Linked DNA regions of Alligator mississippiensis. The protein of the gene in region 2 purifies or fractionates together with the protein of the main gene of each other region. This does not show direct contact. Links are inferred from orthologs where the notes say so. Each region holds a gene or a part of one and is shown on either strand. Other genes may lie near its edges.

Region 1 (7,187 bases), on a different chromosome or scaffold from region 2:
TGCTCGTTGGGTGGAAGGCCTCAAAGCCAACCCTGGGCTCATCTCTTACACTCTGATGCCCATCCATGCCTTGGCAAGGAAGGGTGACCCACGGCGGGCCTCTCTCCAGAGGGCTGTGAGCCAGTATGTCCTTGATGGGGCGCTGTGGAGGAACTGCACCCATCCCTGCCCCCTGGGCACCCAACGAAGCCCGTGGGACCCATGCACCTGCCTGTGCTCAGAGGAGGTGGGGTGGGATGCATCCTGCTGCTCCCGGGAGCGAAGCCTGGGCCAGCTCATGGTGACGGTGGTCAATGCCAGTAGGCTCTACGGGGACCTCGGCACCCAGTCAGATGCCTATGTCAAGGTGTTTTATGGGGGGCAGGAGCTGCGGGCAGACACAGTGTGGAACAATGACAGCCCGGCATGGGGGGTGGGACTGGATTTTGGGGTGGGGCGGGTAGACGGTGAAGACGGGCTGAGGTTGGAGGTGTGGGACGAGGACAACGGGCATGATGATGACCTACTGGGGGCCTGTGGGGAGATGCCTGTGGCTGGCGCCCCCCAGTCTCGCACCTGCTATTTGGCCTATGGGCAGCTCCACTTCCTGTACCGCCTCCAGTGTGGGCCTGGCCTGGGTGGGCCCCGGTGCCAGGACTATGCCCCCCGGCCCCCTGAGATATAACTGCCCCCCCAGGGGGCTTCCCCTCTTCAGGTCCTTCAGCCCCATAACCACATGGACTGGGGCCACAAAGCGGGGAGGGGCCAGGAGGAGAGAGGGGGTGATGGGATGGGTCCACCTGACCCATCAATGACCCTTAGGTGATCCCAACAAATGATCCCATCCATAGCTCCACCTACCAATAATGGCAACCCAATCCTAAGCAAGGACACCAAACCTAACCCAGCCAACCAATGACACCAACCCAACTCTAACAAATGACCCCACCCCTAGCCCAACCCAACCCACCGATCTCCTTCCCTCAGGGCCTTCCCCTTCAAACCCTGTACACACATCCCTGGCAGGGAGGGAGTCTAATTAGGGTGACTTCCAAGGTTCGTTAGCAGTAATGAGACAACGGGCATCCGGCCTGTGGGGGGAATAAAGGCATTTGAGTTGACCTCCTGCCAAATGTGTGTGTGTGTAGCCCTCAATTGGGGGGCTAACCCCTCCACTACCCACAATCCCTTGGCCCCTCTCATTCCTGAAGAAGTCTCAAGAAACATGAATTTTCTTCAGAACTCCCCCCCATTTTATTGACTATTTTTCACCCCGCAACAGTGCCGGGGCCAGAGGAGGGGCAGCTACAGAGCTACCCACCCCGTGCCTTTCCTCACCCCTTTTTGACCACTCTGAGCCCCCTGGGACCTGAGGTTCCCCTGTATCCAACATGGCTGCCGAGTCGGGGTGGGTTCACTGGTTGTCCTGGCGATGGTTTCAATATGGCCGCCTAGGCCAAGAGTTTCCACTGGTTGCCTTGGTGATGGTTTCAATGTGGCTGCCTTTTGCAAGGGGTTCCACTGGTTGTCTTGGCAATGGTTTCAATAGGCCGCCTTTGCCAAGGGCTCAAAATGGCTGCCCAGACAAAGGTGTTGAGCATGGTTGCTATGGGCAGGGGGCCAATATGGCCGTCTTGGCAACAAAGTGAACATGGCTGAAATGGGGATGGTTCAGTATGGCTGCCTGGGCAGCGGGGGGGGGAGTGTCAACATGGTCACCATGGTGATGGTATCAATATGACTACCATGAGGAGGGTCAATGGGGTTGCCCAAGAAAGGGGTGGAGTTTGGTTCCTATAGGGGGTGGTCAAAATGGCTACCTTAGCAACAGGGTCACCACGGTTGCCATGGCAATGGGATGAACATGGTTGCCATCAGAGGGGTTCAATATGGCCACCCTGGCAATGGGCCCAAGATGGTGGCTGCAGGGAAAATTCAAAATGGCCATCTTGGTAATGGGGTGTCTAGGACTTCCAAAGGGGGGGTTCAAAATGGCCACCCTGGCAACAGGTTAAACCTGGTTGCCATGGGGGGGTCAAAAGGGTCGCCTTGACAACAGGGTCACTGAGGTCACCGTGGCAATAGCGAGAACATGGCCACCAGGCCCAATGGGTGGCAGCCATCTTGGTGTGTCTGTCCGTGTGTCCGTCTCCGTGTCGCCGTGTGCCATGGGGTCCGGAACCGGGTTCGCTAACGAGGCTCTGAGCTAACGAGGGGGGTGGGGTTAGTGTCGGCCATCTTGTTCCCTGCCATCCCCCATCCAGCCTGGCGTTGTGGCTGGCGGCCATCTTGGGCCCCATTACCACCATTTTGTGCCCACCCCAGTGCTGTTCCCCATTGCTGTGGGTGATGATGGCCATCTTAGCTCCACTGCCATGCCTTATGGTGGCCATCTTGACTCCTGGCCCATGCCTAATGGTGGCCATCTTGGTTATTACTTCCAGCCCCCTGCCATGCCCAAAGGCGGACATATTGACTTCTACTCCCACCTGTTTCCATGCCTAATGGCAGCCATCCTGATGCCTGGCCCGCTTCCCACAGCCTTGCCTTGTGGCAGCCATCTTGCTTGCTGCTCACCTCACTATTTCTGCACCCAGTGGCGGCCATCTTGGTTCCCAACTCTTTCCCCACTGCCGTGCCCAAGAGCTGCCATCTTGGTTCCCGCTCCCATCCCTAATGCCAGGCCCCGTGGCGGCCATCTTGACTCCTGCTCACTCCCCCATTCCCATCCCCCATGGCGGCCATCTCGGTTCACGCCCCGCTCGTTCCTGCGGGCAGCTGCCATCTTGACTCACCTGTGGGCAGGGCTCCGCTCACTCCTTGCCCGCCCGGCGCCGCTCCGATCGCTGCAGCTTGGTGGCCAACTTGCGCTCGTGCCCAGCTGGGCTGGGCCGGTTCGTGTGGGCTGCTGCCTCCCGCTTGGTACGCCCTTTCCGGCCTCTCCCATCAGGCACTGGGATGGCGGGGGGGGGGACACAAATGGGGAGGGGTCAGAGTTGGGTGTCCCCCACTCCCACCCGCAGCTCCCTGCACCAGTGCCCCCGCCCCCGCCCCGCAGCCCCCCACAGCAGTGCCCCCGCTCCCGCCCCGCAGCCCCCCACAGCGGTGCCCCCACTCCTGGGTGCTCTGGGAGGGGAGCGCGGAGCAGAGGGGCGGGAGCCGGACGCCTGGAGCCTGGCTGCCATCTAGTGACTTCGGACTTTATAGCCAGACTTTATAGCCAGGGATCGGGGCAGGGGGGGCCGGGCCCGGACGCTGGGTCCTCACCCGCGTAGCGCTCGGTCAGGCTGTAGTAGTCGCAGGCGTCCAGGTACCGGCCTTCAAAGGGCGTCGGGACCAGGCGGGCGGCATCAAGCCGGGCCGAGGCCATGGCCTATTGCAGGCGGGGTCGGGGGTCCTCGAGCTGGGGGTCCCTGGGGGCGTCGGTCTGTGCAGCAGGGGCTGCGTCCGGCTGTCTCCTGGGGCTGTTTGTGTCTCGCTGGGTCCTGCCCCCCCTTTATAGACCAGGCCCCGCCCCCATTGCATCATCCGTCTCCCCCCCAGGCACCCCCCCCCCCCCCCGTTCCTGCCCCACCCCCAGAACCTTAAAGGCACAGGGGGGCCCCACTGCTGACCTGCATCGCTCCCCACGGCGGTGCCCCCACGCCGAGCCCGCACCCCCCTACGGTGCCCCCACTCCCGCCCGCCCCGCCGGCCCCCGGCCAAGGTACACATGGGGAGAAAAACAACCTCGGGTCACGAGGGGAGACTGAGTCAGGACTCGGCTGAGCCCTCCCCCCCCCCCAGCCCTCCCCCCCCCTTATTGCCAGGCCTGATAGAGAGGCGCCTGAGCTGGGAATCATTAACTGGGTGCCCCCCCCGCAGCCCCTTCTGCCCACAAGAGTTTGTGGGGCTCCCCCATCAGACAACCCAGGGGGCCGGGCTCCCAGAATCCCCTGCTCCCACCCCCCAGGAAAGGGGGGACCCCCCATATTACAGGGGTACGGGGAAGGGGGGGCTATTTTGGGCAGGGTGTCGGCGCAGGATGGGCGATGCTGCACGTGGGGGAGCGGCTGCAGGTCGGGAGTGAGGGGCACCGCTGTTGCTGAGCGCTGGGGGTCGGGGTTTCAGGAGCGGGAGGGGCCGGGGAGCTGAAAACTACAACTCCCAGGAGCCCCGGGGAGACCCCGGCTCTATGGCGCAAGAGACTGGAAGGGCAACATGCGCGATGCGCATGCGCTGTCGTTCTGCGTGGGCCCTGGTGGCACTGTGCGCATGCGCAACCTCAAAGCGCTTCCTCAGGGACTGCAAGTCCCAGGCTGCCTCGCGAGCTTGGCTCCGCGCAAGCGTAGTTGGGCCCCGCCTCCCGCTGCCGCCCTGGGAACGTGGAGCCGCTCCTTCGCCGCCGCTTCAGGTCCGGTCCCGCCCGGAGGGCCCCGCGGTGCGTCTGGGCCTGGGGGCGACCGGGGGGCAGGCAAGCGGGGCCGGAAATGGGCGGTGGGGGGGCGCGAAGGGGGTGTCATGGTAAGCAGGTGAATGCGCATGCGCAGCTTGGAGGGGACGCGGGTGATGGGAGTGCGCATGCGTATTCGGCTTCTTGGACCCCCCCTCCCCCCGGTCCCAGGGCATTGTGGGAGTGTTGCCAACCCCACCAGTCCCGAGGCATTGTGGGAGTATGGACAACCTGCCCTCTGGCCACATGGCATTGTGGGAGTGTGGCCAACTGCTCCCTGTCCCAGGGCATTGTGGGAAAGTAGCAAACCCCCCACTGTGGGAGCATGTCCTTGACTCCCCCTCAGCCCCAAGGCATTGTGGGAGAGTAGCTTACTGGCACCGCAGCCCCAGGGCATTGTGGGAGATAGGCCATAAGTCCCCCCTCCAGCCCCAAGGCATTGTGGGAGCGTGAGCAACTCTCCTCCCCACCGCAGGGCATTGTGGGAATCCAGCTAGCCGCCCCCCCGACTAAACCTTCCCGCCGGGCGCCCCGCAGGCCCCGCCCTCTCCCGGCGGCCATGGCGCTGGTGTCGGCCGACTCGCGCATCGCGGAGCTGCTGGGGGAGCTGCACCAGCTCATCAAGCAGACCCAGGTGAGCTTCCCAGCATCCTCTGGGGTGGCGGGGGCCTTTCCCAGCATCCTCTGGGGTGGGGGGGGCCTTTCCCAGCATCCTCTGGGGCAGGCGGTGTGCGGCCGCCTCCCTGGGGCAGGCAGAGGAAGGAGCTGGGGGGCAGGGGGAGGTGTGTGGGGAGGGTTGTCCTATCCCCGCCTCCTACGGGCTACCCCAGAGGCTGCTGGCGAGGGGGCGGAGCCCTGGTAACCCCGCCCCCCGCAGGAGGAGCGTTCCCGCAGCGAGCACAACCTGGTGAACATCCAGAAGACCCACGAGCGGATGCAAACGGAGAATAAGAGTGAGACCCCCGCCCCGCACGCCTGGGTGCTTCCCAGAATCCCCCAGGGGTGGGGGTGGGGGTGGGGGAGGGGTTACAGCCCAGCCCGGACCCCTGGGTTTCTCCTTCGATGGGTCTGGCCCTGGACGCCTGGGTTTGATCTCCGATTGCGGGGGGGAGACGGAGCCTGTACGCCAGGGTTCAGCGTAACACGAGGTGGGGGGGCGGGCCCCCGGGTTCAATCAAGTATTGGGGGGGGCCGGACGCCTGGGTTCTGAACTGCACCCCCCCACCCCCCTGCAGTCTCCCCCTATTACCGCACCAAGCTGCGGGGGCTTTACACCACGGCCAAGGCGGATGCAGAGGCTGAGTGCAAGTAAGTTTGCCTCCCCTTGCCCCACCCCCACCCCAAATCCCCCCCCCCCCACTAGCGGTCACTAATGTCCCCCCTTTCTGCCCCCCCTCCCACACAGCATCCTGCGCAAGGCACTGGACAAGATCGCCGAGATCAAGTCCTTGCTGGAGGAGAGACGCATTGGTAAGCAATACCTAATCCCCTCCTCTCCCCCGGGACTCCCAGAATCCCCTGGGGCCTGACAAGAAGTGGTTGGACAGGGGCATTCTCCCCCGGGGCTAGTGGGGGTCTCTGGAGGGTATAGAAGCCTGGAACTCCCAGTATCCCTTGGGACCTGATACCTCCCAGAATCCCCTGGGGTCTGACAAGGGGACACAGACTTCCCAGCATCCCCTGGGACCTCAGCTGTAGGGGTCTCTGGGGGAACTGCCAGAATCCCTTGAGGTCTTGGGGTCTCCAGGGTGGGAGAGGGCCTGGGATATCCAAAAATTCTTTGGGGAGGGACAGGGGATGCGGGGTGGCTGGGCACAGACCTCCCAGAAACCCCTGGGGATATTGTGGGGGTCTCCCAGAAGCCCCTGGTACATAGGTCTCTCCACCGGCCCTGTTTCCCACAGTCCTGTGCAACGTGGATATCCAGGGACGGGGAGGACCCAGAAACCTCACTCTTTTCTTTTGCCCTCCCCACAACAGCGGCGAAGATCGCGGGACTCTACAACGACTCGGAGCCGCCACGTAAGACCATGCGCCGGGGGGTCCTCATGACCCTCCTCCAGCAATCGGCCATGACGCTGCCTCTCTGGATTGGAAAGCCCGGCGAGAAGTGAGCCCCCCACCTCTTGCTGCTTCCCCCTGCCCTGGGGGGCGGGGTTCATAGCCCTCCCCCACACCCCTAACTGCCCCCTGCTTGCAGGCCCCCACCTTTGTGCGGCGCCATCCCAGCTGCCAGTGACTACGTAGCCAAGCCCGGGGACAAGGTGGCCGCCCGGGTCAAAGCTGTGGACGGGGATGAGCAGTGGATCCTGGCAGAGGTTGTTAGTTACAGCCACGCCACCAACAAGTGAGTGGAGGGGAGTCCAAGATGTCCACCATGGGGTGGGACTTGCCAGCCTGGCTGCCAGGATGGCGAGGGAGGGGGGTTGGAGGGCTTCCAATATGGTTGCCAGGTCCAGGGCCCATCCAATATGGGCACCAGGGTGAAGGAGGACGGATTGGAAGACTTCTAATATGGCTGCCAGGGTGATGGCTCCTCCAAGATAGTCACTCTAGGCAGCCATGGGGGGTGGGGCGGGGGGAGGGATGACACTATGATACTGGGTGTCCTAGGGGCCACTCTAGCCAGCCAAGAGGGAACGGCATCTCTATTACCTCACTAGGGGGTTCCTCTGGCTGGGCAAAATGGTGACTCTATGGTGCTGGACCCCCCCTCCTCCCCCGGGGGCCCCTCTAGCCATCCAGGAGGGCAATTCTGTGGTCCCCCGATGACCTC
Region 2 (6,917 bases):
AGCCTATGGAAGAAAAGGACAAACACAGGAACAGAGATTCACATCCACCGGGGCCAGAAGGGACCAGCCTGATCCCCCGGCATCCAAACACACACAGGTCACAGATTTTTTTCCCAGAATTTGGATCAAAGCTTGTCTTTTAGAAAGACACCTAATCTCATTTTAAGACTCTAAGCAATGATGAGTCCACCACTTCCCCTAGAAAGCAGTTGCAATGTTTAAACACCCTCACTGCTAGGAAAGTGCATCTTATTTCAAAGTTGGGTTTGCCCAAGTTCAGCTTCCAGTCACTGGATCAGGTTACCCTTTGCAAAGCCCCCAGTATCAGATAACTTCCACTACACACAGTGATCAAGTAAGTCATCTCTCAATCTTTTGTCTGGTAAGATGCATCAAGTGAGTGCCTTAAAGCTCATATCACAGGGCTTGCATTCCAGCCTCTGAATCATTTTTGCCCTTTCCCTTTGAAATCTTTCCAGTAATTCCACATCCTTCTCCAAATGTGGATACCAGCACTGGACGCACTGCATGAGTCATTGCCTCGCCATTGCTGTGTCCAGAGGCAAGATCACTTTTCTGTGTCTATTTGATATTCTCCGTTTATGCATCCAGTGATTGCATTAACCATTTTAATTGCAGCATGGGCTGAGAACTCACATGCAGGCAATTATCTACTATGATTCCTAAGTCCTTCTCTGTGCCATTACTTTCTAAGACAGAGCCACCCAACCTGTAGGTCACATCTGTCCGACTGGTAGCCTGTGGATCACATCCAGCCCATGAGTGGCTAACTCATGGCTCCCAGTCCAGGTGCTTCTCCCTTCATTTCTTCTACTGCTGCTGCCAGGGTCCCTGGGCTCCCCCTCCCTTCTCCAGCTTCCATTTCCTGCCTCCACCCCAGGAGGAGGAACAGAGCAGTGCTAGCCCGAGGGGCTCAGGGAACCTGCAGCTCAGGAGGTGCCTTTGCACTGCTCTGTTTGGAACCAGTGGCTCAGGCTAACGCTAGGCTCATCTCATTAAGCCACACATCCTCAAGCACGTGCTCTTGTTTCTGGGGTCCAGCTGCAAAAGAAGGTCTAGACAGTGACTTTCCTGTGGTGTGGTAATTAGAGCACTGTGCTGGGAAGTCAGAGATGATGAAACCTCCTTTGGATGAGTAGGTCTAGAACCCAGGTGAGTGCCTCCAGCAGTGGGCTAAAGCATGGGGCCCCCCTCCCTCCAGCACCTAACACCGGTTGTTTTACCCAGCAAAAGTTTGGGAACTTACACTCATTCATGAGCGACTGCATAGATCCACCTACCTGCCTAGCCAGCATATAGCTTACTGAGCATGCTTAATAGCCACGTGCATGTGGAGTAGTTATAAATTGTGTGCAAATGTCCAAAATGGCATTTACAAATGTGGGTAAGTACCATTGGGATATGTAAAGTGAAATAGGATTTTGCCCTTAATTTCTCTTTGACCCTATTTTCCACCTGTTGTACACGGCTAGTGATATTTCCTTTCTCCACCCCCACTCTTGTCTTCTTGGAGCTTGAGCTCTTTGTGTTAGGGACTGTCTATTGTTGTGTGGATGTTTAGTGCCTAGTGCAGTGAGGCCTTGATCTCAGTTTTAATACCTAGATCTCTGGCTATAGCTTCAGTCCTCTTCACTCCCAAAATTTCAGAGTCCCAACACAGATTCCAAAATTCACACTTGGACTTTTTTTTGTCCACTCACTGACTCAGATTTGGGTCTCAGTCACATTGGTGTGGATTCAGAGTTGCTACTGAAAACCATAGAGTTTACTCCCTATTGACTTCAATGGGAATGACCAGAATGTACCTTCCTGGAATTTGAAACTCAAATCAAAATATTGCAGGCCTGGCCCATCCTTATGATTAGTAATTCTTTGCTTGTAAGAACAGGGAGGGACTAATTTTGTGTTGCTTTCTTGTTCCGGGCCTATTACAATAAGGTCTCCATCCTGTTCAGCGCTTTCAAATGCTACTGCAGTCACGATCCTCCACAGGAGTAAATTTGCATAGCTCCACTAACACCAGCCACAACAAATTGATTTACACCAGCTTGGGTCCTGGCCCTGGGATTCTTAAAACATGTGATTCTTGTTTTGTGGGTTAACATGTAACAAAGAAGTTATACAAGTCCATTGAGAAGAAATAACCAGGTTCAGAGCCTTTCCGATTCTCAGGCAGAGACAGCTGAGTAATGCTTCACTTCATTCCTGCACTGAATTAAAAAGCCAGAGCTGAAAGACTGAAATTAGACTGGCACCATTCATAACTCCTCCAATCCTTGCTCTCTTACAATGTGAGCAAAGGACAAGCACGTTGGCTTGAACTAATAATTTCCCAGGAGTCCCGTGCGCCAGCACAGAACAAACTATTCACCTTATGTAAGTGATCTTACAGGAATAAAATTAAAAAATCCTCTTTCTGATTGGATGTCTTCTTGCAAGTAGCCAATATAAAATTTCCAGCCATCTGGCCTGAATTCATAAAGTGTAAATTGGAGTAGCCCCATTCAAACTAGTGAACTTTGATTCATTTCCACCAGCTGAGAATCTGGCCCATTGTCTTTGTCTCATCTGCCTCTCCCTCCTTTTTTCAGCCCTGGTGCTAGATGAACACAATTTCAAAATTATATTTTACAAAGCAACAAACATTTCCACAAATCTGAGGAGGGAAACCATCAGGAGAAAACTACTACCTAAAACCAACAAACAAACAACTGTTTTTGGCGACTGCAAATTTCTGCTGAGTGCAACATGTTCAAACAGCAACATCTTTAATTATAGGGGATCACCCTGCACACATGTCTCCTGTTCAAATTGCTAGGATACTTTTAGGCAGATCAGATTTCACAGAGTTCAAGTTTGTTTTCACTTACCTGCTAAAAAGCAACTAGTCCTGTAGCTGTTTCCTTCCTTTTTTTTTTTTTAATCACTCCCAAGGAATTTCATTTACACTGCTTCCATCACCCAGACTGCTGCTTTTGCAAAGCTCCCCCCCTTATTTAATTTAACTAGGCATTAGCTACATCCCAAAGGTTGAAGATCTAAAGACATCTGTCCCTGGGGCATACCAATCCCTTAGGAAAAGAGGGGGAGATGCTGGTTAGTATGCTTTAAAACTTGTTCAAGCCTCACTAAAGTAGCCCTGAGAAGGAGGAGGCATGCCAGGGTGGAGTATCATGCCTTGGATTTTTGTTGTTACTCTGAACACTGTATTGTTTTTTTAGCAGAGAAGAGAATAATGATCCTGCTCCTGGTCCCCATTTCCTGCTCAGATCCCACCAGCCCTAGTCTTAGGAAAGGGTAATTCACTGAGTCTTGGAAGTACTTCTTCCAAGCAGCACAATGCCTCCCCTGTGGTTGCTTTTCTTCTGAGAGACCCAGGGTGAAAGTCTGGAAAGAAAGGAATCAGAGAGTTTTTTTCAGATCAGCCCACAAGGAAAGTGTGCGAGGCAGCTGGCTATTAATGTTCTATTAGTGATGGATTAGCTGGAATCTGCCAGCTAGTCAGCGCACACAATGGCAAATTAATGAGTTATTTGGAAAGCCAGCTTAACTGTGTGCTACTTAGTAACTGAGAAAATTCAATACACAGGGAGCTGGGTTAAAACCCGAACTTAACAGAAACACGAGTGGAAGGGGCTGCCTCTGTCACTGCATCTAGTCCCCTGTATTTCTAAATTACCACTTTGAGAGGTGGTGCAAACACCTACTCTGGACACCTTTATGAAACATTTGGACTTTTATCTTGCTGAGATGTTTTCCCCTAGTTGACTTCCTGCTTCTTGGGCAGGGGGCTGGACCCGATAATCTTACAAGGTCCCTTCCAGCCCTAATGTCTATGAAGACTCTCCTATGAAAGGGACTCTGCTCCCTACACCGCAGAGGACAGCAAACCCCCAGTGCCTGGGCCAGTCGGTCTGGGAGCAAAAACCCTTCCTACCCCAGTGCCGGGAATCAGTGTGATTCTGAGGATGTGGACACACATTGCAATCGAATCCTTCCGGGGGGAATTCATTCACAATGGTGTGAACTGTTGTGGCTTGCACACCAGGGTGGGAGTGAGCACCCAGCCCAGCATGCCTTGCAGTGGACAAATGCTTTGGGAGTCCCAGGTGTGGCTGAGGGCCTTATCCCTTTCCTGCTTTCATTTGCTTCCTGAATGTAAGCTTAGTAATCTTTTATAGTATACCCCCCCACCATCTAGCATAAAACTTTCCATCACACACCTTAAACCACATTAAGAAACCACGTACCTGTTACAATAAACGCATCCACTCCTCAGCATCCCCGCGCAGCCACCCACTGGCCTTCCCTAACCCAATTGCTGTCCTTTAGTTTAGTCGAAGCCCAGATTTGGGGTTTACATTCTCAGTTCATTCCCTAGCCTTGTCACTTGTCAAAGCTCAATAAACTTCAATAGCCTGTAGGCTGCAGTCATTTGCAATGTGCTCACCTGACTTGGAGACAGGAGGGGAGGGCTTGGACTCTCGCTTTTTGGTTGTGGGGAGGGGGGGCAGGTACTGCCTGGGACCGGGCAGGTGGGAGGCATGAGGTTGGGCTGAAGTCAAGTAGGGAATCAGGGCAGAGCTGGCTGTTGGAAAAACAACTTTTATTGAGCAAAGAATATGCAAGGGAGCTCATTGATTAAAAAAAATAATTGCCAGCAAAAGGGGGCAGTAGGACTCTGGCTACATACTTTATTTAGTTTATTAGTATATCTTAGTAGGAAGTTACAGAGTTGAAGAGGTGGAAAGAGATCCAGAAGACCCAGGGAAGGGTAGTTGCATAGTACTGGGTGGGTGGGTACGTGGAGGATGCAACTAAGTTATGCAGAGAGAACGTAGCCTACTTAGGTAGGGGATGAGTTAGGGTGAGGGATAAGGGAGGTAAAAGCATGATGCTTACCGAGGGAATAAGATACAAAGGCCCTGTGCAAGGAAGCTGCATTATTGTAGAGTTGTGGGCTCTGAGGGATACATATGCAGGTACAAACAACAGCACGTGGAGTATAATTGCAGAGGTGATGGACAGTCCAGGTGGGAAGCAGTTTTAGCTCATGATCTGTTGGTGGGGGGAGGAAGGGGGGGAAAAAAAAATCAGACTGCTTCCTCCAAGTTGCTTCCAGCCAGTAGTTTGCTGGTGTCCACATACTGGCACTCACTCGCAATGCACTCCATGTTGATGTCCCTGGAACATCTGATGGTGTCAGACACCATGAGCTGTCTCATCAGCTTGGCACACAAGATGCTTTTGTTGCCGGGGGTCCCATGCTCCAAGCACCCCAACAATCAGTGCCTGCACCATCACTTTGCAGCCCCGTACTCACAGCACCTGCCAGCAGCTTGTACTGTCAAATTCCACTTGCAGGCTTCGACAAAGGCTTGCTGCTGGTTCTCCAATGGGATAGCAACATCAGCCATCACGATGCATTTGTTCTCCTCCTCAGCTGCAAGGATGTCTGGGCAACAGCTGGCTCTCAGCCCAGGATGGTGCAGTTGATGGGACTACACTTGATCTTAGCCAAAAGGCTGAGAAGCGATACCAGAGCAGTCGGTTGCAGTAGTGTGTGGGAGAGGCGAGAAGTGATGCAGTTTGGGATTCCTGGAAGACTGGCCAGGTTAGTGTCATAGAAAGGTGAGTCCACACACAACCACTGAATCAGTTCACAGTGCACCAGTTCAAAATAGTACTTGATTTTCCAGGCACCCTTTTGAACTGCTCCAGGTAGATTTAAACACAACACAGTTTAATGCATGTCTTTTCTATCTGTTCACTTCTGTTTTAATTGTCATGCATGTCCCCAACTAGCATCTAGTAAAAGCCAGTCAAAGCTCTGGAGTTACCATGTTTTTCTCACTGCAGAGCTCAACCTGGGGACCTCAGTTACATACTTCCACATCACACACCCCGATTTGTGTGCCCGAACTCGCCATCTTGTTCCACAAGCTGATCCAGTTCTGCAAATTTGATGAGGATGCTTCAAGCCCCAGTGCTAAGGTCACTTACAAACATTTAAATGGGATGGATGGAATTCTGTTTGTCACTGTGCACCTACATGGCCATTTCCTAGCTGCATTTTTTTGGCCTGTTACTGCGTATAACAGACATGCATGCATCAATGTGTAGACTGAGTAGGCCATGTACACACACTAGGTATGTTATCATGCAATGAAGTTTGGGAAAGGAGAAAACCCATTCCAAGTTTTAGCCCCAAGAGCTGAACAGCTAAAGCACTTACCTAGGACGCCAAAGACCTGGGTTTCTGGTCCCCATCACCTAACAAGTCAAGTCACAGTGATGCAAGTTAAAATTCAGTCACCAAAGAAGGGTTTTAAGCCTATATCACCAATTTCTCCACATAGTGCTTTAACCACCACACCATAGATTAGGTCTTTTCCACTCTTCTCTCCAGCACACCTTTTGAGGATGAGCCACCACCCCTTGCACATAATAGCCATCAACTGGAATGGTTGGGGAGCTGTGCAGGGGCTCCACATCCTCCTCTGTAGGCTGCCCCACAGAGGCCTGGGGCTCTGTATGATGTGTATGTGGTCTGGCATGTCACAGACACAACCTGGATGCATGGGATTGGAGCAAGATGCTACGAGCGTCACAAACTAGGACTCCAGAAACCGAGAATCAAAGCAGAGGACATGGGCTAGGATTCAGGCAGGAATGAGGCAGGGGATTCAGGCTGGGCAAGGACTCAGGCGGGAGTCAAGCCGAGAAAACAGGTAGCCAAGGATCATGCAACAGATGAGGGCACTCGGGCAGCCTGCAGCCAGTCCCATCCAGACTATAAGGGCAGCTTGGGCTTGTCTGGGCAGCAAGTAGAAAGAAAGACATGGTGCTAAGAGCACTGTGATGGGAAGGGGGAGAGGGGTTAGGGTGTGGGGGCA

Evidence for each region. The genes of interacting proteins can lie anywhere in the genome.
Region 1: the proteins of INAVA (region 2) and SGF29 purify together in Homo sapiens (co-immunoprecipitation; 3 studies listed by BioGRID and IntAct, counting the BioPlex papers as one, with this or other methods). This does not show direct contact. The link is inferred for Alligator mississippiensis from reciprocal best matches to the Homo sapiens genes INAVA and SGF29.

The regions. Positions count from the first base shown.
Region 1 is NC_081830.1:820,445-827,631, forward strand, and holds the start of SGF29 (SAGA-associated factor 29), read left to right. Parts: upstream 1-4,140; 5' UTR 4,141-4,153; coding exon 4,154-4,399; intron 4,400-4,886; coding exon 4,887-5,045; intron 5,046-5,288; coding exon 5,289-5,364; intron 5,365-5,646; coding exon 5,647-5,719; intron 5,720-5,816; coding exon 5,817-5,881; intron 5,882-6,391; coding exon 6,392-6,521; intron 6,522-6,611; coding exon 6,612-6,758; intron 6,759-7,187. Other genes in the region: perforin-1, read left to right, coding at 1-664; nuclear protein 1, read right to left, coding at 2,793-2,932, 3,247-3,349. UniProt on the Homo sapiens protein: Chromatin reader component of some histone acetyltransferase (HAT) SAGA-type complexes like the TFTC-HAT, ATAC or STAGA complexes.
Region 2 is NC_081837.1:33,172,136-33,179,052, forward strand, and holds the start of INAVA (innate immunity activator protein), read right to left. Parts: upstream 3,071-6,917; 5' UTR 2,892-3,070; intron 1-2,891. UniProt on the Homo sapiens protein: Expressed in peripheral macrophages and intestinal myeloid-derived cells, is required for optimal PRR (pattern recognition receptor)-induced signaling, cytokine secretion, and bacterial clearance.